4 linked regions of the Pelodiscus sinensis genome follow. The protein of the gene in region 1 purifies or fractionates together with the protein of each later gene. This does not show direct contact. Links are inferred from orthologs where the notes say so. Each region holds a gene or a part of one and is shown on either strand. Other genes may lie near its edges.

Region 1 (7,564 bases):
CAATTTGACCGATTCGGTCGAATCGGGCCCCGCATCCCTGAACCCGGAAGTGCCGGCGAGTTATAGAGCCGGGGGCCCTGCTCCACCAATATGTGGAGCTTGGTCTCTCCTCCAGCTCTGCCTGGAGCTGGCCCTGACCCGTCCCTGCCGTGTGCGGCTCCTCCTCGCCAGCTGCTGCTGCCCATGTGTGGCGTTACACATGGGCAGGGGGGATGCCTGGGCATGACATGATGTCACAGCCCGGGATTTTAAAACTCTTTGGAGGCACATTGCAGGCTGCCTCCGGGTTCAGCCTCCGGGGCCTGAGCGCGGCCTCCAGCCCCACAACGTGGAAGGCAGAAGGCAGGGAACAGGCTTGTGCGGCAGCGGCAGCGGCAGCGGCGGTGGCGGGGAAGGAGAGGAGAGGAGAGGAGGAGGCACCAGGAAAGGGAAGGGGCTTGGGCTTGGGCGGAGAGGGATGGAAGGAGAAGGGGCTTGGGAGGGGAAGACACCAAGGGACAGGGTGCAGTAGAGACAAATGCCAGGGGGCCAAGTGCAGACAATGAGGGAAAGGGCAGGAGGGGATGTGTCAGTGGGAGAGGGGACAGGGTGATTCTGGGAGAAGAAAAGAGAGGGGAAGGGCATTGGGGACTGGAGGGGGAGGTGCTGGGAGAAGGCTTGAAAGAAGGGGTGGTCATGAGAAAGGTGGGGATGGAGCAAGGCATGTGTGAGGGCACAGAGGGGCAGGAGGAGAATGGGGCAGAGAGTGGTGAGGGGGTGGGTATCAGGGAAAAAGGGGGCAGGGCCAGTAAAGGAAGGGGGAGGCACCAGGAGGGTGCAGGGCTAAGGGAAGGTGCAGGTGCCAGGGGATTCTGGAGTGAAACAAGCTGGTTACTTGGCAGAAGGGCAGACACCTGCAGAAGAGGGACCAGCACCAGAGGAGAGAGGCAGGACAGGTGTGTAGAGGGAGGTGTTAGAAGAGGGGTAGCTCACCTGATCAGAGTGGGGCTATTGGAGGAGTGGGCATAGGGGGGAGAGAAGGGCTGGTGGAGGGGGGCAGGTCGCAGGAGGGCTGAGGGCACTGAGAAGGGCAGGAGTCAGGACAGCAGAGGAGAGTGAGGAGTTGGGGGGCAGCAGGCACCAGGGGAGATGATGGAGCAAGGAGAGGAGACATGGCAGCAGAGAGAAAAGGTAAAGGTTTATAAAATATTTATTAATAACTTAGTATGCTGCCCACAGCCAGTTTGTTTGCGCCCCACGGTGCAGTTTGGGTTTATGTGGGGATCAACATGTGGCCGGCAAGTGGAATCCAAAACAAAAAAGTAGTCAGTGTAATGATCTTCTGTTGATATGTATTTTAGTAGTTAAATTCTTGGACTGTCATTGCTCATGAAAAGTGCTGTCATGTGGGTAGAAATCAGATAAATATTGAATTTGATTAATATCAGCAGAACTGACTTAAATGGGGCCTGTGTGTTGTGTAGTCTTGCCTTAATCTTTGTATTCATGCCTGTCAGTGTAAGAGAAGCTATTTGTATATATTTGCTTGCATTTGCAACCACACTTAAGTTGAGGCTCTCAGCATCAGTGTGGCCCCTGGGGCTTCCAAAGTTGAGTTGCCCTAGCTCATCCCTGACAGGTGTCTATCTAACCTGGTCTTAAATATCTCCAGTGATGGAGATTCCGCAATCTCACTAGGCCAGCGTTTCCCAAACAACGTGCTGCAGCCCAGTACCGGGGAGTGGGACTGACCCGGCCACATGTAGATCTCAGGGCGCTGCCCTCCTCGCCCCCCCCCATTCCCCCACAAAGCACGAGTTAGTCTGGACCAAGGATTCTATTCTCCCCTCCCTCCCTCTCCCCCACACACTCTCGAGTAATTGCGAACAGTCTGGCTGGTAGACACACTCATGCAGCCTGAGCACATTTACCAGCCAGACAGTTCGAAACTACAAACTGATATATCTAGCAATAATAAAACTTACCTAATGAGAAAATACCAGACATGTTATATGTCCGGTATTTTCTCAGTTTGTTTTTTATGTGTTTATATTTTTGGGCTGCAAAAAACTACTGAAAGAAAAGGGTTCCAACTAAAGTAAAAAGTTTGGGAAACCCTGATCTAACCATCTTTCTGTCTGTCTTACAGTTCATTCATCCAATCCATATTCCTTAACTTGCTGGCAAGAATACTGTGGGTGACCATATCAAGCTTTGCTAAAGCTGGCACTGGGGGTTTTGGGAGGACCAGAAACAACTTATTTGAATATTCATCATTTGATTAATGAATATGCAATATGCAAATGAACATTACCGGTCCTCCAAAAGTTCGTGAATGGATTTACTCGTCCCCTTCTCAAAAAGTTTGGGAACCCCTGTGTTAGAGGCAAGGAATTAGAGACCCTGTACATGAATGTTTGAGGATCTGTACCAGTATATTCTGGGGGCAATTTAAGCATTCCTACCCTGAAGTAATTTACTTGATGCTCATGGTGCATTTTTATTTGAAAACCAAACAAGCCCTTAATTACTCGGAAAGGCATACTGTATGGGACATTGAACACACAGACCCTGATTTAGCCAAGGAGTGCATAAAGCCTCACTGATATCTGACTTGTAAAGCGTAGATAATGCTGCTAGATCTTACATCAGTGTTATCAATTATGTTAAATGTGGTATTTAATACATAAAACTCTTAATAGGTACAGCTATTTATTAATCCACTGTCATACACATGGCATCAAGGAATTGTATACTGCATATTCACCTTTATCTATGTCCTTAACATTGTGTTACTTGGACACATAGATTTTTGGATAACCTAAGGCAAGTCACTTCCATCTCTCCCTGCCTCTACATTTCCTCTCATCCCTTGCCTGTCCTATCTATTTAGACTGTTAAACCTCTGGGACAGGGGATGTTTCTCACTATATAAGGACCAGGAGCTGTAGCCTTTGACCAGGCAGCTGTATTAAACCGGAAAGACCTGTTTTTCTACAGTTTGTTCCTTGTCCAGTATTCCAACAAAACCAGACATGGTTTTCTTGGGTATTGGATAGAGAGCGTGCCATTTTTAAGACATGGCTTGAGTGCATGTGGACCATGTGTCTGGTACCAGGCTGATGTGCACAGAGTCCCACCAGCAGGGACTGGACCTGCTTTTGCCAGGAGCATTGGGGTGTCTGGTTTGCCCAGTTGCCTGAAATAAAAGGATCATCTTCCAGCTCCACACCACTATGCAGACTGTTGTGAAGGTGCAGGAGACATATGGTCACTCAGGAGGAGGGGATAAGTGAAGGGTAAGAGGTGGAACAAGTCAAGAATCAGATCTCCTGGGCCAGAGGTGAAAGGTCATAAATTGGAACGAGAGGCTAGTTTGAGGGTAAAGTGCAAAAGTCAGAGGAAGGAGACTTCTGCGAGGTCAGAGGTCAGGCAGGGAAACACCCCATGACATCACTAAGGGTGGAGTGTCAGAGGTTGTAGTTCACTCAGTTAAGGGTGATCATGTTGTGACCAGTTTTTTCGTATGAGCTGGGGTTATAGGTCATGGCCCACAAATGGGGTGAAAGTTCAGGTCGGATGGGAACTACCCTCCTGTCCACCCCCTTTTATGTTTCTATAATGGGGGGGAGGGAAGAGCTAGGCGGGCAATTAGTTCTGCGCAGGCGCGGAGTCCGACACCGTGCTAGGGGGAAACTACCACTCCCAGCATGTCCGAAGAGGAGGACACGTGACCACTGTTAACTGCCTTTTGCCTGGGGGGGCTTCATGGGGAGGTGAACCCCCCCCACACGAACCCGTTTTGAATGCGCCGCTCACACGGGAAGGGGCTTCTCATTCTCGCCGGTGGCGTATACCCGCCACCGGGTGAATAGGTGGTCGGGTTCACCCCGACGGACTCAGTGCGCCGCTTAGGTGTCTACTTCAGTGCCTGAACCGGCACCAGATTCAATTCATTTCTACGCGCCCTGGGGAACTCTTTGTTACCCTGTTCTTGTCCCCAAAAGACCCGCTTGGCCATTTTAATAACCATTTACATGGGGCAACTCCCTCCGCAACAGGCGCTTTGCATAGACAGCTCTGGGGTCGAAGGCCTCCCCGTGCCGCCCAGGGGCCCATTGCAAAGGTTTCCGATTGGCCTCCACAGCTTTCGTTCCGATCTCTCATTGGCTGATGTCGGGGCCCGGGGACGGGTGGAAGGAAGAAGAGGAGGGGCTTTTCGCGCGCAGGGGCGACGTTAGCAAAGGGGGGATGTCCTTCGAACTTATTGGCCAACGTTCCACGTGGGCACGGAAAACAGTGCGTCCGCATTGGCCGACTTTCGACGGAGGGGGTGGAGCGTTAAGCTGTCCCGCCCTCCGGGTATATCAACCCCGGGCGGGGGGGGCCGACTTCCCATCGCGTCGGAGGTGGGAGACGTGAGACGCTGCTGTATTCTATCGAGCTTCGCGCGGGCGGGTGGGCCGCGCATGCGCTAGCAGGGGCGGGGCAGGCGGCCGAGCGCATGCGCCTTGGGGCCCTGCGCGGGGGGCGAAGGCCGAACGCAACGGCGGCTGCGCTGTGAGCGGGACGGGCGAGAAGGGCACATGCGCAGGCGGCGCCCGTCAGAGGCGGGCCGTTGAGCGGAGCCACTTGGAGGAGGGAGGCGGCGGCGGAGCTCAAGCCGCTCGCCCCGATGCAGGAGATGATCGAGATGGCGGCTGACAAGGAGACCTTCCTGGTCCCGACTCCGCCACCGCCCCTCAAGGCCCCGGCCGGAGCGGGCGGCCCCCTGGGGCAGCTGCACCAGGAGCTTGCCTCGGTGGAGTTACGCCAGGAGGCTGCCCCGGCCAATCCGCGCGGCGAAAGGGGCGGAGCCGTCGTGCGGCCGCACCAAGAGGCGGTCCCGGGCGGGCGCGGGGAAGGAGTGAGCCGCGGAGACGGCCCCCTCATGCAGCTGCACGAGGAGGCCTCCTCGGAGTCTCACCAAGGGGCCGCCCCATTGGGCCAGTGCAGGGGCGGAAGCGGCCCCCTGCCGCGGTCGCACCAGGAGAGCGCCCGGGTCGAGCTACACCCGAGGGCCGGTCCCAAGGAGGAAGATAGCGTGGGCGAGCTGCCCCGGCCTCGCAATGGCTTCCAGGCCCACCGGCCGCCCGGGGGTGGGGGCAAAAGGAGGAACAGCTGCAACGTGGGCGGTGGAGGCTTCAAGCACCCGGCCTCCAAGCGTCGCCGTCGGGTCAACTCCGAGTGCGACCCGGTTCTGCCCTCTGAGTTCCTGCTGGGGGGCAACATCTTCGACCCCCTGAATCTCAACAGTCTCCTGGATGAGGAAGTGAACCAGGCCCTCAATGCAGAGACCCCCAAGTCATCGCCGCTGCCTGCCAAGGGCCGCGATCCAGTGGAAATCCTCATCCCCAAGGACATTACGGACCCACTGAGTCTCAATGCCCAGGATAGCGATGCAGCCCTTGTGCTGGCTGCACCCTTCAAGTCGGGCCGAAAGCGCCACCGTCATCGGGGGCAGCAGCGGGGGGGTGGTGGTGGTGGTGGTGGTGGTGGTGGGGACTGCAAGCAGGCAACCTGCAAGTCATGTGGGGCCAATGGGGCCTGTCCCACCCCACAGCCCTATGAACTTAACACGGCCATCAACTGTAGAGATGAGGTGGTCTCTCCACTGCTCCCCCTCGCTGCAGAGCAGCAGCCAGGAGTGGGCTGTGTCACCCCCTCCTGTTCCTCTGGCAGCAGCCGCCACCGCAAGCGGCGCAGGACTTGCAGCAAATCGGAGGCAGCTGGGGGTGCCAAGCAGACGCTGCCTCCCCACACACTGGTGGCCAGCAAAGGTGGGGGCCAGGCAGGGAAGAGTAGCCCAGAAAAGGGGAAAGGCGCTGGGAGACAACAGGCACCCATGTCCAAGCGAAGGAGACAACACAGAAAATTCCAGTATGGCAACTACTGCAAATACTATGGCTACCGTAACCCCAACTGTGAGGATGGCCGGCTGCGGGTCATGAAGCCTGAATGGTTCCAGGGCAAAGAGGTGCTGGACTTGGGCTGCAACGTAGGGCACCTCACCCTCAGCATTGCCAAGAAGTGGAAACCTGCCCGGGTGGTGGGCCTGGACATTGATGGAGCCCTGATACACTCGGCCCGCCAGAACATTCGCCACTACCTGTCCGAAGAGATCCAGCAACGGCAGGAGGAAGAGGAGGGGGCAGAGGGAGCTGGCCCCAAGAGGAGAAGAAGCTGCTTCCCTGCCTCACTGACAGCTAGCAGGGGACCCATTGCTGCCCCCCGGGTGCCCCAGGACGGGGCAGCTGCTGACTTCCCTGACAACGTGATCTTTGTCCGGGTAAGAGGCCTGGCCTGGGTGGGAAAGGGGCTGCCAGGAGAAAATCCTTCCGGGCTGTAGCAGCCACCTACCTGGTTGCTTTCAGTGAGAGGTGGGGATTCACCCAACTGCCCATGTTTATACGGTGGTGCAAGACATGCCCCTGACAATCTGAGATGGGGGAGAGGAGGGGTTGTCTCCCATCCTATAGGTAGATAGCTCATCTCCTAGGCTGGCCAGTGGCTTAGATGGGAAAAGGCTGGTAGTATGGGGGGTTGTTTTTGGATAAGGGAACTGGATCCTTCTGGAATGGTTTCTCTGGCTGATAATAGGGTCTGTTTTGGGGAGATAAATGAGACACTCCATCTTGCTGGAGGGGGTGTGTGTGTAGGTGGCCACTATTCCTCATGCTTAGGAGTTCTATGTAACTGACAAGATGGTGCTACCTGGGGACAAAGGGGGATACCAGTTAAAAGGCTCAGTGCAGCTTCCCTCCGTAAAGCCCCTTGGGTGAGAGGATGCTGCATTGTGTCCCCTTAGTCAAAACACTTGTCCTCCTCCACACAAGCACAAGAGGGAGTGGAGATGCCTGTGACCTTGGTTAATTTGGTTCACGTCCTTGCCTCAGTTAACCTAAGAATGTGCTGGTGCCTCTTGCTCTGTAAAGCCTTGACATTGTGTGATGTCCAGAGCCCACTCTTGGATGAACTAAGTGCCAGTGGCAGCAAATGGGGTGGTGTGTGAGGAAATGCAGTAGCCAGCTGATCTGCTAGCCCAGAGGTGTGGAACCTTTTTTGGATTGGGGGAAATAACACCCAAAAAAACCTCATTGATATGGCCCCTGACTGGAAAGGAGAAAGCCGCTCCCCACATTCTCCTTGCACACCAGAGATTGAAGGGGCAAGCTAGTAGATTTTGTGTGCTCCAACCCCACAGGGGGAACAGTAGGGGGTGGGGTGCCTAGAGCACCAGTGCAAGCTCAGCAATGCTGGGGGAAGCCCTTTACCTCCCGGGCTAAACCTAGGCAAGCTGGGGGCTGCATCTGGCCCCCAGGCCTCAGGTTCCCCACCCCAGTGCTAGCCTAATGGAAGGTAGAAGTGGTGCGTGTGCGTGTGTGTGCATGCGTGTGCGCGCATGCATGCGCGCGCGCGCTGCAGGGTGTGTGGGATCTGAAAAGCTGAGCTGCCTGCAGACATGGCCTTGTTTTAGACCCCTGCGGAGATCTGGCTGGGACATTTCTTGAGGAGTAGCAGCTGTGTTGGGTGTCAGGATGAAGCA
Region 2 (7,916 bases), on another chromosome or scaffold:
TCAATCACCTGAGGTGGTCATCTTGAGCCACAGATTTGTGAAAGACGTGTTTTGAGGACTAACCTTCAGGATGGGGTTGTGAGAGAAACATACAAAGAATTATTTTGGTATGCTTACTGATAGTGCAAAAGCATTTTAAAAGGGTTGTGTATAAACAAATTGCTCTGACCACCCTATCAACATCTTTCCCATTCTCCTTCCATCCCAAGATACCAGACGTAAGCAAAAAATTTTCATATGAACAGCTTCTGACAAACAAAGGCTAGGGACACCCTTCCTACCTATCCTGGCTAATAAATATTGAGGGATATATCCTCCATGAATTTAACTAGTTCTTTTTTGAACCCTGTTAAAGACTTGGTCTTCACAATATCCTCTGTCAGGAAAATATGCATAAATTATTTCTGGCTATGTAGGCCAAAGCCACTTTGAAAATTAAGCTATCAAAGTAAGGTCTGCTTTTCTAGAAATGGAAATTAAGATTAGTAAACTAGATCACATTTCATTGACAGGGATGAAATATTTTTAACCTGCTTCATTGTAGAAAAAATTCACACTAGGTAAAACGGAAACTTCATACTATGCTTCTCATGGTTCCACATATAGCCTCTAATAATGAATGGTGTAGCATTAATAGCGATTTATGCTGCTAGTTTTTGTGTAATATGCTCTTTCACAGATGTGAAGTCAGTTTTACCGTTTTTCCTTTAATCCATTCTGTGGCCAATGAGCTTGAGGCAATTGCTGATCCACAGCCAAATGTTTTGAATCTTGCATCAACAATTTTTCCATTTTTATCTACTTCAACCTGCAAGAATTCCAATGACATTGATTTGGTATATAATATTTGTGTTATATATTTGGTTACATAACATTCTTGTGGTACTATAACTGAAGAGGACTCAGCTTGATAATGATTTGATTTCAACCTATTCACAGAAATCAAGGCAAAGTATCCTTCACATTGGTATCCATGGTAGCAGAATAGGACCTAAGAGTAAGGCAAGGAATACTGTAAAACATTTACATTTTAGTTCTAGAAACGGAAAGTCATTTTACTAGTGGTTTAAGACAGCAGTTACAAGTAGACTTTAATGGACATCATCCACTTAAGGTCTACTTTTGTTTCAAAAGGTGAGTTAAATGTAGTCTTCAGAGCTGACACCTGCCTCTAAATCCTCCTGATATTCTTGTTGATTTTCACCAGAACATTTTAACAGTGGATAACATGACAATGTATGGGAAACAATCAGATATATAAATGAAATAGAGGCTCTTTTATATTTTTTATTTTACCACCTGTAATACCATTAAATCAGAATTATCCACCAGAAGTTTCATGTGAAGGCAGTTCTCATTTAAGACTAATATGTTCATATTCTGTAACTTTTCATTTTGTAAAGTTACTTGCATGTCCTCTCTTTTTTTCTGGCAAACAGCTTATATGATTGTCAACATAACCAGCGTGGTCAGTTCATAATATTCAATATACTAGAGATCTCTCAGTGAACACAGAAATAATCATGTTTGTTATTTGATAACTCACCTGTAATTTCATCACATCTCCACAGGCAGGGGCACCCACTAATCCAGTGCCAACGTTCTTTGCACTCTTATCAAGGGAGCCCACGTTTCTAGGATTTTCGTAGTGATCCACTACCTAAAAGGGAATTTTATTGGCAAGGATTATGGTATCTACAGTCCCTGTCTAGGAAAGCGCTCACAACGTCTGTGCAGTTTAAAACATACTGCAAGAAAGCCCAGTGCATGGCACGGCTGAGAACCTCCCCAACGCTGCCCCAGCTTCAAGGGCATGGGAGTCCATAAGCCCCCTAGTCCCACAATAGCCAGACCTCCTTCTCCTTTCCCAGTCCCAAGTTTCCCACACAACTCCCAGGATCCCATCCTCTTCTTCACCCCTGCCAAGTTCTTTCCTCCCAATCCCTCTCTGCTCTACCTCCCCTCCATGCTGATCTCACAACCAACAACCTCCTGCCCCAATGCTGCCCCCACCCCTCCCCCCTCTCTACTCCCCCCCGCCCCCAATGCTGCCCCCACCCCTCCCCCTCTCTACTCCCCCCCGCCCCCAATGCTGCCCCACCCCTCCCCCCTGTCTACTCCCCCCGCCCCCAATGCTGCCCCCACCCCTCCCCCCTCTCTACTCCCCCCCGCCCCCAATGCTGCCCCCACCCCTCCCCCCTCTCTACTCCCCCCCGCCCCCAATGCTGCCCCCACCCCTCCCCCCTCTCTACTCCCCCCCGCCCCCAATGCTGCCCCCACCCCTCCCCCTCTCTACTCCCCCCCGCCCCCAATGCTGCCCCCACCCCTCCCCCTCTCTACTCCCCCCTGCCCCAATGCTGCCCCCACCCCTCCCCCCCTCTACTCCCCCGCCCCCAATGCTGCCCCCACCCCTCCCCCCTCTACTCCCCCGCCCCCAATGCTGCCCCCACCCCTCCCCCCTCTCTACTCCCCCGCCCCCAATGCTGCCCCCACCCCTCCCCCCTCTCTACTCCCCCGCCCCCAATGCTGCCCCCACCCCTCTCTACTCCCCTCCCCCCTCTCTACTCCCCCCCGCCCCCATCCCTCTCTACTCCCCTCCCCCCTCTCTACTCCCCCCCGCCCCCATCGCTGCTGTCAGCCTCTTGCCCCCTCACGCCCCGCCCCTAAGGACTCACATCTCGCCTACAAGGCCCCCCCCGCCCCCAGTGCTGCTCCCGGCCCCCTCACTGACCTTCTTGTGATACCCCGCGGCGGGGCCTGCCAACCCCCCGGGCCCGGGTCTCAGCAGCGCAGCGGCAGCCCAGCCCCCCGTCAGCCTCAGCGCCGCCATCTTCTCTCGGCAGCGGGCAGCGCGAGATGTCCCGCCCTGTCCCCGCGCACTGTTAGGAGCGCGTCGCGTCACGCCCCCCACGTGACCCGCACGTGTCCTGGCCCCGCCCCCTCGCGAGGGGCAAAGGGCAGTGACTTGCGGGGCTCAAAGAGCAGCAGCTAGAAGGCGCGTGTCCGGCCCCTCCCCCCTGTGGTATCCAACCCGGCCGGTCACGTGTCTGCTGGTGCCGGCGGGGGCCGCGCAGCGCCGCGTGCAGCAGGGCGCGCCCCCAGGACATGTTTACGGCGCTTTGCATCCTTTTGCTCTGCGCTTGGGAAATGGACCCTCCACGCCTGCTCGGCATCGCTGCCCCGGGAGAGCTGCCCAGGCCTGAGCGAGCCAATAGCCGGGTCTGGATGAACCCGAGTATTGCCCGGCAGAAACCAACCCAGGCTTAACCAACAGCTGTTCTGTGCCTGGGCCCGGTGCACATTGTGCACACACCCACTTGCCTAGGGGAGCAACAAGCCATCCAAGCGGGGAAGACCCAGCCCACTGAGATATGTGTTTATGCCTTCCAGGCTTATTGCAATCAGTGGAACTCCTTGCTAGAGCAAATTGTGAAGATCAGGGTTCAAAAAAGGACTCTTGTACATTTCAAAAGCAGAAGTGCCAGGAGTGGGAACTGGTATGCTTCTGTTTCCATCCCACAGTGGAGACATGGTGGTGGGAACCTAATTGGTTCTTCCCAGCACAGGCTCCTGCTCCCTTCCACCTAATAGTTGACTAGTTGCTTAGGCTAGTCACTTACATCTCTAAAGCCAACTGTGTTTTGCACCATGTTCAGAACCATTTACAGGACTCACCTAACAGCTGGCTGACAGATGATCCACTCTCGGGCTGTGTCTAGACTGGCCAGTTTTTCTGGAAAATCAGTTGCTTTTCTGGAAAAACTTGCCTGCTGTCTACACTGGCCGCTTGAATTTCCGCAAAAGCACTGATTTCCTACTGTAAGAAATCAGCGTTTTTTGCGGAAATACTATGCTGCTCCCATTCGGGCAAAAGTCCCTTTTGTGCAAAACTTTTGCACAAAAGGGCCAGTGTAGACAGCTGAGATTTGTTTTGCGCAAAAAAGCCCTGATCGCGAAAATGATGATTGGGGCTTTTTTGCAGAAAAGTGTGTCTAGATTGGCCACGGACGCTTTTCCGCAAAAAGTGCTTTTGCGGAAAAGTGTCCGTGCCAATCTAGACGCTCTGTGCCGAAAATGCTTTTAACGGAAAACTTTTCTGTTAAAAACATTTCCGGAAAATCATGCCAGTCTAGACGTAGCCAGGCAGTTTATCCAAAGCCTGAATTTGTCCTATACAGTGTTGTAGTTTGACAATTAGCTAGTCAGGATTCCAGACCAGAGAGCTAATAATAGTCTTGCTCTGTTGTGATCAGTACTTGGTTTCTCATTTGGCTTCTGAGGGAATGAGTTCTAATGGGGGGGGGGGGGGGGGGAGAGAAGAGGTGCAAGTTTTTTTATTCATATTCCCATTTGCATATTTCCAGACCTTGCTGCCTTAGGATGCTTTACAGTTTTATCAAATATTTAGACAGCATCCTGAACACTGAGGTTGGACAGGTCAGAGGGAGTTTTGCAAATATCTGTTTTAATTTCTTGTGCAAGGTCACCAGAAAGAGGTAAGAGGGATGGAGGGGTGGACTTTGCAAATACATTTCACCATATTTAATTCCCATGCCATATCCCATTCTCTAGTGATGCAGCTACGGGAACTTTATAAAGACGAGAATATTTAATTTCTTATGCACTAGCCCCTGCACCATCCATGATACACGTACATCGTGTACTGAATGTCCAGTTATTACAATGGCTCTCATCCTGCTATGGTTGTGGGAGGATGAGCGGGGACGCAGCAACAAGACCCGAGCCATTTTGCTATGGACAGAGGTGCTCAAAGCCCAAGCAAGCCTTTGAGCCTGCGTACAGAAGAGTTGCCACACACAATATGGCGGCCAAGCCTGGGTCCTTCCCCTACCGACAAGCCCTGGCCAGGGGGACCTCCTTCAGGGCCCCGACATGCCCAGGAGGACCTCAGCAGCCCACGCAGGTGCCTGTAAGAATCCATCACGAGAAGGCCGTGACTCCCTAATCGGAAACAGCCGTTGCTGCAGAGCTGAGTACAGCGAGCTCCACCCGGGCCTTCAATCTTCTTGTCGGGGGTGCGTTCAGCATCTGCGCGGGGACGGGCGAGTCAGGCGCGCCAGCGGCAGCCCCGCGGCTTGGCCGAGGTCGGCAGGCAGTGCGCAGCGCGTAGCTGCACAAGATGGCGGAGGCGGCGGCAGCCGGGCCCGAAGAGACGGCGGCAGTAGCGGCGGCGGCGGAGGAAGAGCGGCGGCCGGAGGAGCAGGGCGGGGACGAGAGCGACTCGGGCTCGTCGGCGGATGGCGAGGACGAGGAGAAGGAGAACGAAGCCGAGATCCAGCGGCTGGAGGAGCAGGTGGGGATCGCGGCCCGGTGCTCGTGGGCACGCGGGGGGAGGGGGCGGGGCGCGAGCCGGGTGCGCCCGCGAAGCCCGTTGCCTCGCGCGTGGAGCCGCCCTCAGCCCTGCCTCGGCCGGCGGGGTCACCCTCGGTTCGGTCCCCGCAGCGCGCGGGGAGGGGGAGGCGGCTCCGCGGCTGCGGCTCGGGGTGTGCAGGAGGGAAGCGCCGCCCTGGGGGCTCTGCGAGTAGCGCCCAGGCCAGAGCATCGGGCCCTCATCCTTGGGGGGTGTGAGCATCCAGACTGGGGGCTAGTCACTGCTCAGCAGGAGCCCCCACGCTTTCTGTAGGGTGCACAGAAGAACAGAATCCTTCTCTGCCCTTGCTTATCGCTGCTTGCCTTCATCTGTTAGGAGCTATAGGCCAGGGATTGTCTGTGTGTGCACAGGAAGCAGAGTTGCATTTTGTGGGGGCTAGGGCCGTACACATCATTAATATTGATAGAGCAAAGGAATCAATAGGTGATGGAGTCTGTATCGTGGCCCCCCCATTAAATGTTGGAGCACAATTAACATGTGAAGAAAGGGAGAGATTTTTGGAACTAGTGGATTAAAGAGAATAAGGAACATGTGATAGTATAGATGGGTGAACTTTTAGGTGTGGGGAATTCACACCCATTCATTCTGTAGTGTTAATCCAGGATTGTATAATTCTGCTGTCTGTTGTAAAATATCAAGAAATCCTTTCTGTTTGTTTATAGTCTCAAATTCTTTGAACACACAGTGGAACAAGGGATGTTAAAAATCGTGTAATAGGGTAACTGTGAAACTGCTAAAAATCTTAGTGGCTACATGTGCTACTGGTTCAGCAGTACTGTAGAGCCTTCAGTGAAGCTGCCTACCTCGCTTGGGAGGAGGAAGAGAGCTGCTTGTCCTCCCTGGGAAGGAAACTTCTCTTCCCTACTGCAGTGAAACCACCTCCCCCTGGAATTGGTTGAGTGTAATCTGTACCATTAACTGATAAGCATCAGCTGATTGGTTAAACAGTTAATCAGTTAAACCCTAATATTGCTAACAAATTCAAAGTTTCATAATCATGTGTAATGTATGTACATTATACTATTCATAAACTATGTGTGGTTTCTGTTCGAGAATTGAAATATGTACCTTTTTTAGCTGTCTTGGTACACAACCCTTTCAGTTGGAGACACTTTCAGAATTTCTACAGAAATGTGCTCTTCGCTTTTAATTTCAGCATGGTAATTATGAAAATGTTATATCTTTATGAAATAGTTCTGTTGTGTAATTCTTTGGTGTTTTAATTGCTATGGCAAACTGGAATAGTGCTAACTTCAGAGGGTTTTCTCTATGCACTGATTACTGAAATAATTGATGGTTGCAACCAGGAATAGAACTTCTTGAGGACTAATATAATTGGAAAGCATGCGTGTCTGTTGTTGAAATGAACTGCAAGGTGGACCATGCAGTAACAAATGTTTTTCTGAGCTTGACGTACATTGAGAATAGGGAGGCAGAACCTTAATTAGAAAAGAACTTCGATCTTTTCACATCTCAGAAACTACTATTTTATCTTGAGAACTGCTTATGTTTGCTATTTCCAGTTATTAGATGGGAAGCTAACATTTTTTGGATATTTATATTAGTTTACTGGAGCAAATTCTCCGTTTTTGTACAGTGTTATTGAAAAGTGGGATCTACTGCAATTTGGATACAAACCATCAGTTTTACCACTAAAATGATGATTAGACAAATGTGCACAACTGCTTAGTGAGATTTAGGCACCTGCTTATTATGCTTATCACCTGAGGATCCACATTATTAAACAGTGGCTTCTAGCTCCAAGGGCTCAGTTCAGTCACCTGCCAAAATAGAATCTTTCATTTTGTACCCTCAGTGGGCTTTGAAAACAATGAAACATTGCACAACCTTTATGCAGACTGGTGAAAGGCGTGTATTATTTTCACTTCACATTGAGCAGTCTGGGGGTAGGTCTACACTAGCACTTTGACTGGTGTATTTTATGTTGCTCGGGGTGTGAACAAACCACTCCCTGAGCAATGTAAATTACGCCAACATAAGAACCATTGTGAACTGCTCTATGTTGTTAAGAGATCTTCTCCAGCTGCCACTTGTTGGGGTGGATTAATTGGAGAGCTCTCTCCAGTCCACTGAGAGCAGCTCCACTAGAGAGCTTACAGTTGCACTGCTGTAAGCTCTATAGTGTAGCCATTACCTGAGACACTGAAGGAATTGATGGCACAGTCCAAAATAGAACTCTGAAGTTCTACCCTAGTAACCAATTGCTGGATATACTCTCTTACATTTCTTCATCTCCTTTTTAAAGCTTTCCATCAATGCATTTGACTATAACTGTCACTTGGACCTAATAAAACTGCTTCGCCAGGAAGGAGAGCTGGTAAAGCTTAGAAGAGCCCGCCAGAAGATGAGTGAACTCTTTCCCCTGACTGAAGGTACAGGATTACTTTAGTTCACACTGGTTATCCTTCTGTAAGCTCCTCCCACTGTTTTTAGCAGCTAAATTGAACATTTTGTAAAATAGTGGTGTTGAATTTTAACATGGAAGTACAAATCAGACATTTTT
Region 3 (7,478 bases), on another chromosome or scaffold:
GCCACCCAGCCCTCCCCCTCTTCCCGGGACCAGGCTGGCGGCTCCCGGGAGCCTGCCCAGGTCCTCAGGAGGCGGGTGCCCACCTGGTCTAGTGCGGAGATCGTGGACCTCATCCACGACCTCCGCACTAGGCACAGGAAAGTGGCCGTCTAGGGCAGGAGAACTGCCAGCCTGGCCACCCAGGAGCAGGTGTGCATGAAAATCAGGGTGGTCCAGTGAGACCCCCGACCCTGAGCTTACAATGGCCGTACTGGGACAGACCAAAGGTCCATCTAGCCCAGTAGCCTGTCTGTCGACAGCGACCAACACTAGGGACTCTGGAGGGGATGGACCGAAGACAATGACCAAGCCATTTGTCTCGTGCCATCCATCTCCAGCCTTCCAAAACAGAGGCCAGGGACACCATTTCTACCCCCTGGCTAATAGCACTCCATGGACCCAACCTCCATTACTTTATCTAACTTCTCTTTAAACTCTGTTCTAGTTCTAGCCTTCACAACCTCCTGCAGCAAGGAGTTCCACAGGTTGACTATTTGCTTTGTGAAGAAGAACTTTCTGTTATTAGTTTGAAGCCTGCTACCCATTCATTTCATTTGGTGTTCTCTAGTCCTTCTATTATGGGAACTAATGAAGAACTTTTCTTTATGCACCCTCTCCACACCACTCGTGCTTTTATAGACCTCTATCATATGCCCCCTCAGTCTCCCCTTTTCTAAACTGAAAAGTCCCAGTCTCTTTAGCCTCTCTTCATATGGGACCTGTTCCAAACCCCTAATCATTTAGGTTGCCCTCCCCTCTCCCAGCCTCTCTCTTCCCCTCTCCCACCTCCTTTTCCCAGTCTCCCCGAGTTTTGTTCAATAAAGAGAGTTTCTATTTTTGAATACATGTGTCCTTTATTTTGTACATCAGGAAGGGGGGCTAGGGAGGGGTAAGTGGAAGGAGGTGAGGGAGGTACGAGCCCCCAATGGGGAGGACTGGGGTGGCTCTGCAGGCTCCTCGGGGTGGAAGCTCTCCTGCAGCCCCCCCGGCTGACCCCTCCCCGGATGGCAACCTGCAGCAAGTGCAGCCGGGCTGATGGCCGAGTGCTGTGATGTGCCCAGTGTGGGCACTCAGGGCACTCCAAGCCAGGACTGCTTTGCAAGCGGGGAACCCCTGAGAACTGTCTGTCCGGGATGGAGGTCGGGTCCCTTTAAGCACAGCCCTTGGCTAGCCTGAGACAGCAGCTCCACGCTCTAAGTCAGTGGTCTCCAACATTTTTATACCCAAGATCACTTTTTAAATGACAGACCAAGCCAAGATCTACCGCCCCGTCCCTTCCTTGAAGCCCCGTTCTCTCTAGTCTCCTCCTCTCCATCACTTGCTATCCCCAATCCTTATACTGCTGCTTATTTTTTTTTATTATTATTACTATTCTAAAGGAAGAAGTTTTTCCAACATTTGGCCTGTCTACACTGGACCAAATGTCAGAAAAAAAACCCTTCTTTTGGAAGCCACCTTATTCCTTGGGGAAAGAGGAATATAGGGGTGACCAAAAGAGCCTGTTTGCTCTTCCACTAAAAAAGCGGAAGAACAAACGCAACCCTGGATGCAGAAGAGTTTTTCTGAGATATCTCCAGAATCCTGAAAAACTCCTGCAGTCTAGCCGGACCCCCGCTGGGTTGAGACAGGACGTGCAGTCTCTGCGGTGGGAATGAGGGATTTGGGTGTGGGAAGGGGTGAGAGGTACAAGCTCTGGGAGGAAATCTGGATGCAGGAGGAGGTGGAGAAGGGGACACTGGCTCGGGGAGGGGGCTCCAGGCTGGGCAGTGTTGGGATACTAAGCAAGCCACAGGCTTGTGGATGTGAATTTGGGTTGGGGTATGTGAGGGGCTGAGGGCATGAGGTTCCAGTGTTTGATAGGCTCAGATCTAGGGTCTGGGGAAGGGGGAGTGCAGGAGTGGTTGTGGCCAGATGGGGGTTTGGCCCCAATTGAGGGTTTGTTGGCCAGGCTTCATTTTTAAATAGAATACTATGTTAAACACAAAGGCTGTGTCTACACTGGGACACTTATTCCGGAAAATCAGCTGCTTTTCCGGAATAAGCTGCGAGTTGTCTACACTGGCCCTTGAATTTCCGGAAAAGCAACGACGCTCTACTGTACAAAATCAGCCGCTATTCTGGAAAAACTATTCTGCTCCTGCTCGGGCATAAGTCCTTATTCCGGAACACTGTTCTGGAAAAGGGCCAGTGTAGACAGCCCAGTAGTCTTTTCCAGAAAAAAGCCCCGATCGCAAAATGGCGATCGGGGCTCTTTTCCGGAAAAGCGCATCTACATTGGCCACAGACGCTTTTCCGGAAAAGGGGCTTTTCCGGAAAAGCAGCCTGCCAATGTAGACGCTCCTTTTCCGGAAAAACTGAAAACGGAATAGTATTCCGTCTTAAGCAGTTCCGGAAATTCATGCCAGTGTAGACACAGCCAAAAAGTTTCTGCATTGTCTTTATTTATGAGAATGGCAGGGAACCTGCCTTGAGTCAGGGGTCACTGACCCATAGAAAAGTCATTTGGGAGCAGGGGACACAGTACTGGGGAGGGGTGCTAGTGGGTTGTGGGACAGGGAACAGGGTGCCAGTGGGGGTAGGGGAGAGGGGGCAGGGTGCCAGGACAGGTTTCTGCAGCAGGGGACAGGGTGCTGGGGGGTCACTTCGCAGTACAGCTGTCTCCCATATTTGCTGCCCACCTACAGTCATTGCAGAATATAGTTATCCCTCCTATCAGACCCCTCCCTTTCCATGAAGCAAAATACAGGACTAGGTGGCACTTCAAAGACTAACAAGATGGTTTATTAGGCGATGAGCTTTCGTGGGCCAGACCCACTTCCTCAGATCGATATATGGAAGAAAACAGACACAACCATATATACCAAAGGATACAATTAAAAAAATGAACACACATGAAAAGGACAAATCACATTGCAGAACAGGAGGGGGATGGGGGGGGTGTGAGCTAATGGTGTTAGAGGTGATAACTGGGGAGGCTCGTTGTAATGGGTGAGATAATTAGCGTCTTTGTTGAGACCCCGGCGTAGTGTCACATTTTAGCATGAATGAGTCACGGGCTCTGAAAGCTGCACTTGGAGGGGATCCCCCGATCGTTTTAACTGTGCCCGTTGGTGTGTCCGTGACTGTTTGATCCGGGGAAGCGGGTCCGGCCACGGGAGCTCCTCCCCCAATGAACCATCCCGTGAGTCCGGCCCCGCCCCGCCCGGCTGCCCCAGGCCGCTCCCTGCCCGCGCTCCGGACACCGCCCCTCGCAGGGCTGTTCCCGGCCCGACCCGCGAGTCCGGCCCCCGCCCCCCGCGGCTCCCGCCAGGCCCGTCCCGCGGCAGCGACGAGCCTTTAGCGCCGCCCTCGCGGCCCGGCACCGGCCCCAGGCAGCGGCGAGCGCGGCGCTTCCCGCGGGCCCTGGGGCGCCCCGGGACGGGCCTGGCGCGGGAAGGCCAATCAGGCAGCGAGGGGGCGGGTCCGTGACCTGTCACTCCCGTGCGAGGCGCGCTCTGATTTGACGGTGGCTGGCGACGGGAGGGGGCGGAGGGGCTATATAAGGCCGGGCGGGGGAGGCGGCTGCCGCCATTTTGTCCAGTCAGGAGAAGCGGAGCGGGAGCCTGCTCGGGACCGAGTCGGCTGCGGCGTAGCGCGTGCTCCCTTCTCGCAGCCCCGTCCGCCCCGGGAATCGGTGAGGGCCGAGCCGGGGCTCAGGGCGGGGCCCGGCTGCGCGCGGGGAGGGGCGCCGGGCGGCCTCAGGCGCCGGACAAAGAGCCGCCGCCATTTTGTGCGGTGGGGCCCGGGCGCGGCCGCCCAGCCCGCAGGCGGCGGGGGCCCTGGGGGGCAGCGAGGCCCTGGCGATGGGGCGCGGCGAGGCCGGGCCCGGGGGGGGCGCGAGGTTCCCGCGCGGGGCGCGTCCCCCGGAGCCCCCGGCTCATGGCGGGCCCGCGCGCGCGGCGAGTGCCCGGGGGAGGGGCAGGCTGGTGGCTCGCGCCGGCCTAGGCCTGGGGGCGCCTCGTGCGGGGCGGGCCGCAGGGCAGCGCGCGCCGCGCTCCGAACAATGGCGCCCTCGGCGCGCGCGCGGCGCCCCCTGCAGGTCTTGGCTGCCACCGTCCCAGGCCCGCCGGGGAGACGCGGGGGGCGGGGCCGCGGGGCGGGGCGCGCGGGTTAACGCGCGAGCGAAGGGTCCGACTGTCGCTGCGACGCCCCTTACCTCTCGGGTCCGCGCGCCAGCGGGCTGCGGGCATCTGCGCCCCGGCCCTGGGTTTGCAGGTCTCTGGGGTCTCAGGACGCAGCAATGCCGCCTGACGGGGTGAGATGAGGAGAGACTTGCACATCCAGGCCTAGCATCTGCGCGTTTCAGTGCAGGCAGCAGCCTAACCGCCGAGGGAAATACTGCAGTTGTAGGCCGAGGGAATCTGCTTTTTAAACTTACTGGGCTTTCTTTCCTAGTGATGCATCGGGACTCTTGTCCACTGGACTGCAAGGTTTATGTAGGTAACCTTGGAAACAATGGCAACAAAACTGAATTGGAACGAGCTTTTGGCTACTATGGACCACTGCGCAGTGTGTGGGTTGCTAGAAATCCTCCTGGCTTTGCTTTTGTTGAATTTGAAGATCCCCGAGATGCTGCTGATGCAGTAAGAGAACTAGATGGAAGGTAAAATTTGTTAATTAGACTATGCACTTAATTTAATTACAATGATTAAGCAATTTGTATTCACACTTAAATTAACCAAGATCCAGTAATATCATGGCATTGAGATTAACTAGCCATTCAGTTGTTGAATTACTTGCCCACTAATTCAAATTTATAAACCAGAATAACTCTTAATTAAGGTTGCTAACTATGTAAATAGACTTTTTTGTGGTTAATCTCAATATTTGATATTCTTGGTAATTGAAGTCAAATTGAGACCCCTTTGCTGGGTGTAATGTAGGCTGGGATGATTTTTCTATCTATAGTGGCAGTGCCTTAGCAGTAGGTGCATTTACACCAGCAAAGTGTAGTTCTTTTGCTTCTGTACTTTTTCATTTGGGGGATCTGGTATAGGAAATGTTTTGTTGGGATAAGATGTCTCTACGTAAGTGGATTTGCTGGTATGCTGGCAAACACTTTCTAGGATAGACTTGGCCTGAGATTGAAAATTCCAAATACCTGGTAATACATCTAGAAGTACTTTGAGAGCCTCTAGAATTCAGAAGAGTTGGATTCCACCTGTACCTGGTATGTGGAGTATCAGAGATGGACAATAAGTCAACATTTCACAAGGAACTTTTAATTCTTGTGAAACAAAACATGAAATAGTAGTATTCATAAAACGTTTCAGAAGTGTATTTATTACTTCAGTGGAGCTAAGTTTAGTGTCTCTGAACACAGCTTTTTAATTTCGAAGTGGAAGAGATAAGGATAGCTGAATGTTAAATAGCTCTTTTAAAGTGATATTAAAATTTTGTTTTGACTACCAGCTAGATTTAAAGTATTAACCAGCTGAGCAATCTATCCTGATTTTGCTACAACCGAGTATGGGCTTTTCACTAAACTTATTCAACTGTGACTTCCATTAAATTATAGTTGTGATAAATGCTATAATTTCATTTTAGTCACATTTTCTAGTTACTCTCCTTGTAAAATAAATATTCTACATAGAGAGGAGATGCAGGATTTTTCACTCAAATGGTATTGGAGAAGCCAGAGTTCTAGGGTATACTGTAAAATTTATTTTAACCATTAGTCTTGACATAGGACAGCAATGCTGTTAAGGTATAAAGCTGCAGGTGTTCACTAAAATTGAGCTTTGAGTTTCCAGCTTTACATGAGAGAGAAAGCTACATAGTTAATGAAGTTAAATCTACAAAATTCATCCCCAGGAAACGCTTGGGTAGATTCTGTGCTTTCTTGGTGTTAAGTAACTAGACAGGAGAGGCTTGGGTCACTTTGAATCTGACTTCTTTATATTGTGTGCATTTGTTTAGATACATAGGTTCCTTCCATCTCCAACAAGTGTTTGTCTAACCTGCACTTAGTGGAATCTCCATCTGAGATTATCTCCCTAGCAATTTTTCAGTGCTATATGTACACAATGTTTTCTTTTCCAGTGCGTGCCAGTATGTCTTCAGAGCAGACCGATTTATTGCTTAGAGTATTAACTGTAACTTTTTTCCCAGAACTCTCTGCGGGTGCCGAGTCAGGGTGGAGCTGTCCAATGGTGAAAAACGGAGTCGTAACCGTGGTCCGCCGCCATCCTGGGGTAGGCGTCCTCGAGATGATTATCGCAGAAGAAGTCCTCCTCCTCGCCGCAGGTACCCTAGGTCAAAGACAGTGCATAGAGCTGTTGAATTGTTGTCATTTAGCACCATAGAAGCAGGCTTTCTTTAAAGCATGTTCATGGGTAACATCTTAAACATCCTGATCACAATTTGGAGATGCCAGACATTTTATATAAAATCAAGAGAACATAAATTGTATTGAACATTGGCTTTTGTCTGTAAGTCACTGTAAGTTGATAGCCAGCACCCTCTGCCTTGGACTTATCCTTTCTCTTCCTAAAATCTGCACATCTTGTAGTCGCTTTCTTCCCATACATCTACTTAGGTTGTTCCCTTTCTTTTACTCCATAATGACAAACATTACATTCAGCAACTTAACTTTTCCATGCAAATGCATTTCTCCCCTTTAACAATTCAAATATTTGCCTTGAAGGCAGCTGTTTAATTATGTTAAAACAAGTAACAGTTGCATTTAAATGTACAAATCTAATTTAACCCTAGTAAAGAGTTTAAAACCTCTTGTGACAGTATCTGTCATTTGAGTTTTGCAAACCCAAGCCTAAAATATAGCAGGGTTTTTTTGGTAACTACCTACTTTCTTGGATCTGGACTAACGTGTCTGAATGTGTTAGAACTCTGCACGTCTCAGCCTACAACATGGTTCATACAGGACTGAATTTAACTATTGCCAGGTGAGTGAAGTTCTCACAGGATAAGTTTGAAACCATGTCCCTTTTGCTAATAAAAAACCCACAATAGGAGTATGTTAGCTGCTAGATGGTTGTACTGATGGCTTGTTTTTCATTTTTTTATGCTTTTTGGTCCATCTATTAATAAAAATGAACCCGTTACAGAGTCACCATCATGTCTCTTCTCACCACCCTCTGAGTCTGCATTAGCCAGTCAACTAGCCCTTTCAGCGTCATGTGACCAGCGCGCCCCATTCTGCTTGGCTGGTGTCGTTTCACATGACCCAGGCATGGCCAGTCGTCAGGTTGCACCGCCCTTTGGTTCCCGAGCATGCTGTTTTCTCTCAGCCTTCTCTCCAACCTTAACCAAATCGGCAGCAGCCACCTCGACCGCCCACACATTCCCGGCCAATCAGCTCAGCTGTTTATTTACCAAATGTCTTCACAACAACTACAGCAGCAGCCTTCGGCTAACAAAAAAGCAGGAAAAATCCACAA
Region 4 (8,138 bases), on another chromosome or scaffold:
ATAATATTTTACAAGCGAAACCACAAGTGCAGATAATGTATCTCTCTGTATGTATGAAGTATAACATCCCTGCCATAAAAAGAGGCAGAACAGTAAAAATGGGGAAAGAGTCTTCTTAGTGCAGTATGTAACATTAGGTCCCCATTCTGCAAGGATCTCCATGGAGATATCCATACCCTTAAATGATCCCAATTAAATTAATGGGGATCTACATAGATACAGAGTTTGTCTATATACAACGTTTTGCAAGATCGGGGCCTTACAGAATTCATATTCTGAACTGTTAATCTTGCTGAAGCCTCATCAGTATAAAGAAAAGGAATTAGAAGTGTGTTTCTTTTGCAATTTAGTAAAATGTGTTCATGTTGGCCAGTGAAATGACATTTTATTTCCTGCTATTAGTGCATGGAAAAGCTTCTACATTTTTAAATACAAATGTCAAAGAATCACAGAAATTTAGGACTGGCGGGGACTTCTTCAGATCCCCTGCACACAAAGCAGGATTATTTCTTTTGTTGCAATTTAAGCCCATTTCTTCTTGTCCTACTTTACATTCCTCCACACTACCTTCATTTAAAGACAAACAAATCTAAAATTTGGCCTAAATAACTCGATAACTTCCATATAAAAATACAATTATTTGCACTATATAAAACTTGGAAACATTTTAAATATTAGCTTTCCACCAAGATTAAATTCCAGTGGCCTGATCCTGCAAATAACTATGCCCCTGAAATAATTATGCTCAAGTGCATAGTTCCAACTGAGATTATGAGCATGACTAAAGGAACCTGGATGTATTTACAAAACTGGGTTTTAACTAAACACATTTAACAAAAAATATAATATTGTTCCAGACTGTTATGCTGATGCTGTAAATTAACTTACCTGCACATTTCCCCTTTAAGATTCCCTTCATTTTTCACAGCTATGTTATTTTCCTCCTTCACTGTTGACTTTGCTCCTTTTTGCCTTGAAGATCTACCTGGCAGGCTATGAATTCCAGTGTCACAATCTTTTTTCTTCTTTTTATTTCCAGCAGGAACTTTTGAGAGACATTTCTTCAGACTGAGCTTTTCTCCTTCAAAATTATCTGTATTAGATCAGAGGGGAAGGAGATATGTCAAAAAGTGAAACCATAGCTCCACAGAACTCAGTCAATAAAAAAAAAAAAAAAAAAAAAAAAAAAAAAAACTCTCAACAACTTCAATAGAGCTAGCATATCACTCACAGGCTGCAGAGGAAAATGCAGGTTTTGCATTTTCCTCTGCAGCCTGTGAACATATTGAACATATTGTCCTAGAAAATAATTTTCACAAATATGCAGCATTAAGCAAAAAGTGCATTTGAAGCAAAACCATCATGGAAATTTCACAGCCCCAAATAAACAAAATGGATAATATCTGCCCTTATCAATAATGGTGGATGAAAAATAAATATTCTACTCACCTACAGCCAGAGTTACTTTTCCCAGACAAGTGGAATTTTGCAAGACTGATTTAAATCACCTCTTTTATGAGGATTCTCTCTCAACAATAGCAAGATGCTTTCCTCATCACACCTGGATCAAACCACTGTGCCCGTTGCAATGGGTACATTAAGTGCATATGAGATTAGAATGATGGGCAGAATTCCCTAATGAAATGTGCAAAGTTTTCCTCCTTTCTAGAATATGGCATGGTTTGACAGAATTGGTATCCATTATATAGGAAAAGTTATTTTAAATGTAAGAAGTTTCAACGTGACTTTGTAAGGAAAAAAATGCCACTTATCTAATTCAATATGGGTTATTCAATATTCCTGGGAGGCTGCTGGTGTCCAACCTAACATACAGATTGTTCCTGGAAACACTCACAAACAAGATCAGTCTATTCATGCAGGTAGCTCCACTGAAGTCAATGCATGAGTGATGGAGCTAGTTGCATAAAGTTGCTTAAGTGTTTGCAGAATCAGGGCTACGACCACAATGCATTCTTGGTCAGTATAGTAGAGAAGGGCAGCAGACGTAATTTTGAAGGAGCTGATTTTTTTCCAAAGCTGCATTTCGTCATTTACTAGCTGAATACTCCTCTGCTTGTGACTATGTCTGACATTCAGCTCATTACTTAATAATGATCCCATTTTGGAGAAACTTTTGCAGGTCACTTTTAAGATGTTTTTATTTTCTAATAAGCAGTGATTATCTGTTGTAAACATACAGCTCCTGGAAGCCTGAGAGAAGCAAGAAAAGTGGAGAGAGATTTCTGATGTTATAGTCTTATGATTTTTATGCCAATCCCCATACATTCCAGGGGGTCTGAGTCACATTTTTGAACATCTGGGTCTGGCAATACTGCATTTATTGCTGGACATTCACAATGGGCCCAATTCTGAAAGCAGTAATATTGGTTCAAATCCAATGAATTTTTTAAAAAGCAACTTTGAGAGAAAATGTACTAAGGAGAGTGGTTTTCGTACTTTAAATATTTGTTTTAAAAAGGCACTAATATTGTGAATTGATCCATGACACCACACTCTTAGGCCCTAATGGCCTCCAGTCTTTAAAAGGGTTTTGCATATACACAAGGGACATTAACGTATACATATGGGGAGCTAGGGGAAGCTCCTGCATGCATGTAAATGTGTAACAGCTGAATTTTTCAGTGGTTACATGTTTACATAAACAAACACATTTTAACATCCCTAATGAAGAGTTCAACAGAATTCAATCAAGGCCTACAATGACTCTAAAACCATTATTTCTTGAATGGTGTGTTTTTGAGAGGCCTGATTTCCTGAGGCCTTCACTTTCATTGACCAGGAGTTAAGCATTTTGCAAGATCAAATCCAATACAGCAGATAAAGCAGTTAAAAAAAACCACATCACTCTGAAAATGTAGCATTTCATAGGGCTTCTTCTAAATTAAGGAATGAAACAGACTGCTTGAAAGTCACACCACATCATCTTCAACAACTATGTGAAATCTAGAGATAAATACTAAATGAAGATGTGGTGACAGAAATACTAACTATAAGCCTCAATGTTAGATGAACAAGAAATACAGAATTAGGATTTAAGATTATATTGTGTTCCCTTCAGTTAGCCTTTTCCACAAACACATATACAATCAAATTCTACCATTATTTGCATTAAGAATGACCTGAATTCCATGCTTATATTTTACATAAATAATACCCTAAAGATATGCTGAAATTACATGTATTTATTAAAGCTGCCAGCAGTACTCTATCCAGAACCTTTATTTTTCTTAGCTTCATCAAATCATTTGATCCTCCCTCTTTCATTGTAACAAAGGAAATGTTTAGAAATTGTGGATTGTTTCCTGACAGCACTAGAAACTTCTCTCAAGAGAAAACTATTTTGCTTATGTAACATTGAAATGTTGACTGTAATGGGGCTGGAAAAAAAAGCTAAATCAGTCATGATCACATTATACAGTATAAGGGACAACAGATCAGCAGATGGAGTTAAACACCACAAAGAACACTACACTATTTAGTGGCTATGCAAAGAGATTGTGGTTTAAAAGGATTTCATCTGCTGTTTAATATTTCAAAAGCTTTATTTTAGTAAGCTCAAAACCAGCAAATAACTGAGACAAGAACAATTCTAAATAAATGTTTCATTTAAACAAATCCTATAAAAACCCTACAGAAAAAATGTCACAAAATAAATACAGCTATAAATAAACAATATCAGAGAAGTTTGATTTATTCTTCACAGTCTACTGTAATTAGAAATGCACATTGGACAGTAGGCTAGAGGATTGCGTTTAAATGAGAGGAGAGTCTAACAAGACAAGTGAGATTTTAAATGTCCCATTGAAATATGTAGCAAAAATCCTTTATCAGCACAGAGGAATGATTTAAAAGTCATTTTAAAGTAATTCCAAATGAGCATGTTATGTGAAGGGGAAATATTCCTCCAAATGAATTTTCCACCCCCAATCTGCCATCTAAGTTCCAGGGGCTGCTTCTCTTTGATAGTATATTCTCCATGATGCTTATGCAACTGCTCGCAACAGGGTCTGGCTCAAGAAAGTCTTCGTCTACACTCACCCTCTCCTTCTTGCCTGAGAGTTTGGAGGGCCCTGGTGGCTGCTGCAGCAGGCTCTGCCTTGAATTTCTTGCTGCTAGCCTCTTGCTGCAAGGAACCTTTGCGCTTCTTGGCCATGCTGTTTCCTCAAGGCAAGGGGGGCAACCACAGACTGGTGAGGGACACAAAGCAAACCCAGCGGAGATGAAGGCAGCCTCCTTCTCTGGGTGAGGCCTTTGCACGCTCTCCCCACCTCCGAAGCGTACGTGCACCCTGAGCCCTCCTCCTCCTCCTGGAGCTGCAGGAAGGCTCTGGGGAGGCTGGGCTAGCACAGCCGGCTCCTGCCTCAGTCTCCTCCTCCTGCCTGACGTCTCTTCCGTCCCGGCCGGCCGAGAGGCAGTCCGCAAGGGCGGCGGATAGCGCCCGTGGCTGCCGTTTGTGCAGAGCTGCCTGGGCGCTGCAAAGGCCTGTTGGGCAGTGATCACCAATGGCCCCTTCTTGGCCGGGGCTGCTCCCAGCGTGCCCCCGAAGCCCAGCCTGGGCTCACGCCGTCCTCAGTTCATGCCCCGGGGGGTGCCTGCGGGCCGGGGCTGGAGCTGTACTCCGCCCCCACTGTACGCCAGTCCGGGGGCACCGCTGCACTCGGCACGGGCCTTAGGCCGGCTCTCGCGCCCACGGAGCCATTGCCCATTAATTCCTAAGGAGCCCGGGCGGGTGCCTCAGTTTCCCCATCTGTAACAACATGGGGCACCTGCGTTCGCTTTCCTTCGCCACGCCGGGGGGGGGGGGGGAGCTGACGAGCACATCGACAAGCCCCCCCGGTAACGGAAAGGTGGGGGGAGGGAACTGAGGCACAGCTAGGCCCTGTGACCGCAATGGGGAGACGCGGAGGCACAGCCGGGGCCAAATCCGCAGACCAGCGGGGGAACCACGTGGCACGAGCCCGAGCGGTCCGCAGCCGCACACCGCGCCTGCTCCGCCAAGCCCCGCCCCCACCACCCAGCCTGAGCAACGCACCGGCCGCTCTAGCCTCCCTTGGAGGCCGCCCCCCCACGCCAACCGTGACGTCGCCACCCGCCGTTTCTACGCGCCGGCGTCGCGCGGGAAGAGGCGGGGCTCGCGTTTGAAAGATGGCGGACGAGGTGGACCAGGTGAGCGGCTTTTCCTCTCCTCGCCGTTCGGAGCCCGCGCGAGCCCGGGGGGGGAGGGGCGCTTCGGTTCTCCCCTTGCCCTGGGATCCCTCCCGTCTGGTTGCCGTTGCTCTCCGTAGCAGGGACGGTTGATGAACGGGGCTGGATGCGCGAGCGCCTGTGGGGTCTCTCCCTCTTGACTCCCCAGTTTCCCATGTCCCGGCCCTTCCCAACTTGCCGCTCACAGTGTAGCGGAACGGCGGCCCTCCAGCAAAGACACGCTGCATACGGCTCCCTCCATAGCGCGCCCCTCCCCGCCCCTGAGCCCCAGCTCAGCCCATGGGGGCTTGAGCAAGCGTGACCGGAGATGCTTCCGTTTTCCTGGTCTGCCGAACTAAGGCAGAGCAGGCAAAGGGTTAGGGTTTCAGAAAGCTGCAGCCTTTGACTTGAGACGGACTCCATAGTCCCCTGTGGAGCAGCAAATCTTTAACCTCTCAGTACTGCAGCTTACATCAAAACGTTTCCTTCTGTTTCAGTCTTCATTAGGTTGATCTTTGCCGTTAATTGCGTGATTGAAAAACATCGAACATCTCTGTGGTCTTAGTGTCATTTCAGTGCTGGTTTCAGTCTCCTGGAGCCTCAGTATTGGCAGTGCTCTTATCAAGCTTAAGAGATGTATGATTTTGTTATGTTTTGTACTTCTACTGCAGTCTGATTTGTTGAAAGTGAAGCTGAAGAAGTAATGGGGAAGGAATATAAAATACTGGAAAAATTTAAAAAACAACAAATAGTCTAGCAGCACCTTAAAGACTAACAAAACATGTAGATGGTATTAAGGATATTTAAATTGTGGTTAATTGACTAGTCAATAGAACTTCCATCAACTACTCAACTAGCCGATAGGCACTTCTGCATTCTTCCTTTGAAATGTACAAGAGCCCGCTTGGGGCTGCACCCAGTGTGCCTTCTTTGAAATGTACAAGAGTCCCCAGTGGGGGCTCTTGTGCATTTCAAAGCCGTGGAACCCAGGGTCACGGGGAGACTCCCCAGTTGACCCCAGGTTCAGTGCAGCATTTCAGCAGAACCCGAGACAGCTGATCCCGAGATCAGCTGGGGAATCCAGCTGAAACATGGTGGCGGTGTTTCAAAGGGGCAGCACTGCACAGCTGATCCTCAGTTCAGCTGTGCAGCACTGCCACTTTGAAGTACCCCTTCTTCTCCTTCCCTTTGCTGCCTCTGTGATAGAGGTAACAAGTGGAGGTGAATCGGCTAGTTGACTGACTAATCGATAAGCATTTGCTTATCGGATAGTTGACTAGTCCCTAACATCCTTAGAAGGTATCATGAGCTTTTGTGGGTACAACCCACTTCTTCAGATGAATGGAATATACCATTCATTGTGCCCAGGAAAGCTCATGATACCATCTACATGTTGTGTTAGTCTTTAAGGTGCTGCTAGACTATTCGTTGTTTTTTAAGTTTTTCCAGTTACAGACTAACTCAGCTACCTCTCTGAAGCTTATAAAATACTGGATACTTACTCCAGAGATCCCAATGCATTATCCCTTTGGGGCAACGGACCACTATTTCGTACTGTTTTCGCAATGCTGAGTATAGTGGGGCTGAGGACTAGAGCGCTAGGTCAGCAATGGGCAACCAATAATAGTGATTTTCATGAGTTGGACCTCCTTCATCTCAGTGGGCAGTATGACTAGTGGTCTGCAGCCTGCTGGGGTTCCACTTGTGGCCTGCACACCCCCTGTTTGCTCCCATTACCCATGCACCCCTCGCACACTGGGACCCTGTAACCCTGCATTTCCTACTCTTTCCCCTCCCTCCCAGCACTTTTGGAGCACCACAAATCACCTGATTCGCACTCCTTCCCTGCTACTCCGCTCCAGCGTTCGCAACTGTTCAAGCTCTGAGGGAGAGGAGTGAGAATGGGGCATAAATCAGGTGATTTGTGGTGCTCTGAATGGGCTGGGAGGGAAGGAAAGGAGTTGAAAGTGCAGGGCCCAAGTGCACAAGAGGCGTGTGGGGGAAGGAGGCAGACAAAGGGTCTGCGATCCACAGTTGGAGCCCCATTGGACTGCATGTGGGATGTAGGTTGCCCACTTCTGTTCTAGGTGCTACAGTACTACAAATAATTTTCCACCAATGAGAACAGCATAATCAATGGCAGTGTAAACTTCTTTACATCCTTGCCAAAGTATCTCAGACTTGACCATGTGAGCTCAATTTGGAGGATGTAAGCTATATTTTGTACCCTTTCTGTTCAGACTTCTGGCCTGTCCACTAAAATTGTCAATAGAGGGTACCAGTTGTGATAATAGTACTGTCCTCTAGGAAGTTAACTGAAATTTATGTCATTTCATACAGGCCACAATATGCTCATTCTATGATAATGATTTTTGGTTTCTACCAGGTTGGGCTGGACCCAATAACTGACCTGAAAGTGAAAGGTACCTTTATCCTATACGTGAAAGAGACTGACCGGTTTTGAACATAAAATTTTTGAGGCTTTTGTATATCGCAAAAACTGCTGTCTGTATTTTTAGCAACAAACAACAAATACTGTAGAGGAGCCACTGGATCTGATCAGACTCAGTCTAGATGAACGAATCTATGTGAAAATGAGGAATGATCGAGAACTTCGAGGCAGATTACATGTAAGTAAAACACTGCAGAAAGATTTAGTACTAGTATACTTTTAACCATTGAAAGGTACATCTAAAAGCCCAGGCAAATTATACGCTTGGGCTACGTCTAGACTGGCATGATTTTCCGGAAATGCTTTTAACGGAAAAGTTTTCCGTTAAAAGCATTTTCGGAAAAGAGCGTCTAGATTGGCATGGACGCTTTTCCGCAAAAGCATCCATGGCTAATCTAGACGCGCTTTTGCGCAAAAAAGCCCCGCTCGCCATTTTCGCGATCGGGGCTTTTTTGCGCAAAACAAATCTCAGCTGTCTACA

What was found.
Region 2: the proteins of MEPCE (region 1) and SART3 purify together in Homo sapiens (affinity purification with mass spectrometry; 6 studies listed by BioGRID and IntAct, counting the BioPlex papers as one, with this or other methods). This does not show direct contact. The link is inferred for Pelodiscus sinensis from reciprocal best matches to the Homo sapiens genes MEPCE and SART3.
Region 3: the proteins of MEPCE (region 1) and SRSF3 purify together in Homo sapiens (affinity purification with mass spectrometry; 3 studies listed by BioGRID and IntAct, with this or other methods). This does not show direct contact. The link is inferred for Pelodiscus sinensis from reciprocal best matches to the Homo sapiens genes MEPCE and SRSF3.
Region 4: the proteins of MEPCE (region 1) and LSM3 purify together in Homo sapiens (affinity purification with mass spectrometry; 3 studies listed by BioGRID and IntAct, with this or other methods). This does not show direct contact. The link is inferred for Pelodiscus sinensis from reciprocal best matches to the Homo sapiens genes MEPCE and LSM3.

Annotation. Positions count from the first base shown.
Region 1 is NC_134734.1:8,771,502-8,779,065, reverse strand, and holds the start of MEPCE (7SK snRNA methylphosphate capping enzyme), read left to right. Parts: upstream 1-4,358; 5' UTR 4,359-4,654; coding exon 4,655-6,307; intron 6,308-7,564. UniProt on the Homo sapiens protein: S-adenosyl-L-methionine-dependent methyltransferase that adds a methylphosphate cap at the 5'-end of 7SK snRNA (7SK RNA), leading to stabilize it.
Region 2 is NC_134725.1:36,567,486-36,575,401, reverse strand, and holds the start of SART3 (spliceosome associated factor 3, U4/U6 recycling protein), read left to right. Parts: upstream 1-4,630; 5' UTR 4,631-5,140; coding exon 5,141-5,314; intron 5,315-7,658; coding exon 7,659-7,785; intron 7,786-7,916. Other genes in the region: iron-sulfur cluster assembly enzyme ISCU, read right to left, coding at 698-808, 1,547-1,660, 2,732-2,830. UniProt on the Homo sapiens protein: U6 snRNP-binding protein that functions as a recycling factor of the splicing machinery. Promotes the initial reassembly of U4 and U6 snRNPs following their ejection from the spliceosome during its maturation.
Region 3 is NC_134737.1:17,176,099-17,183,576, reverse strand, and holds the start of SRSF3 (serine/arginine-rich splicing factor 3), read left to right. Parts: upstream 1-4,475; coding exon 4,476-4,681; intron 4,682-6,189; coding exon 6,190-6,324; intron 6,325-7,478. UniProt on the Homo sapiens protein: Splicing factor, which binds the consensus motif 5'-C[ACU][AU]C[ACU][AC]C-3' within pre-mRNA and promotes specific exons inclusion during alternative splicing.
Region 4 is NC_134721.1:22,035,038-22,043,175, reverse strand, and holds the start of LSM3 (U6 snRNA-associated Sm-like protein LSm3), read left to right. Parts: upstream 1-5,028; 5' UTR 5,029-5,166; coding exon 5,167-5,187; intron 5,188-7,724; coding exon 7,725-7,835; intron 7,836-8,138. Other genes in the region: XPC (DNA repair protein complementing XP-C cells), read right to left, coding at 889-1,093, 4,060-4,174. UniProt on the Homo sapiens protein: Plays a role in pre-mRNA splicing as component of the U4/U6-U5 tri-snRNP complex that is involved in spliceosome assembly, and as component of the precatalytic spliceosome (spliceosome B complex).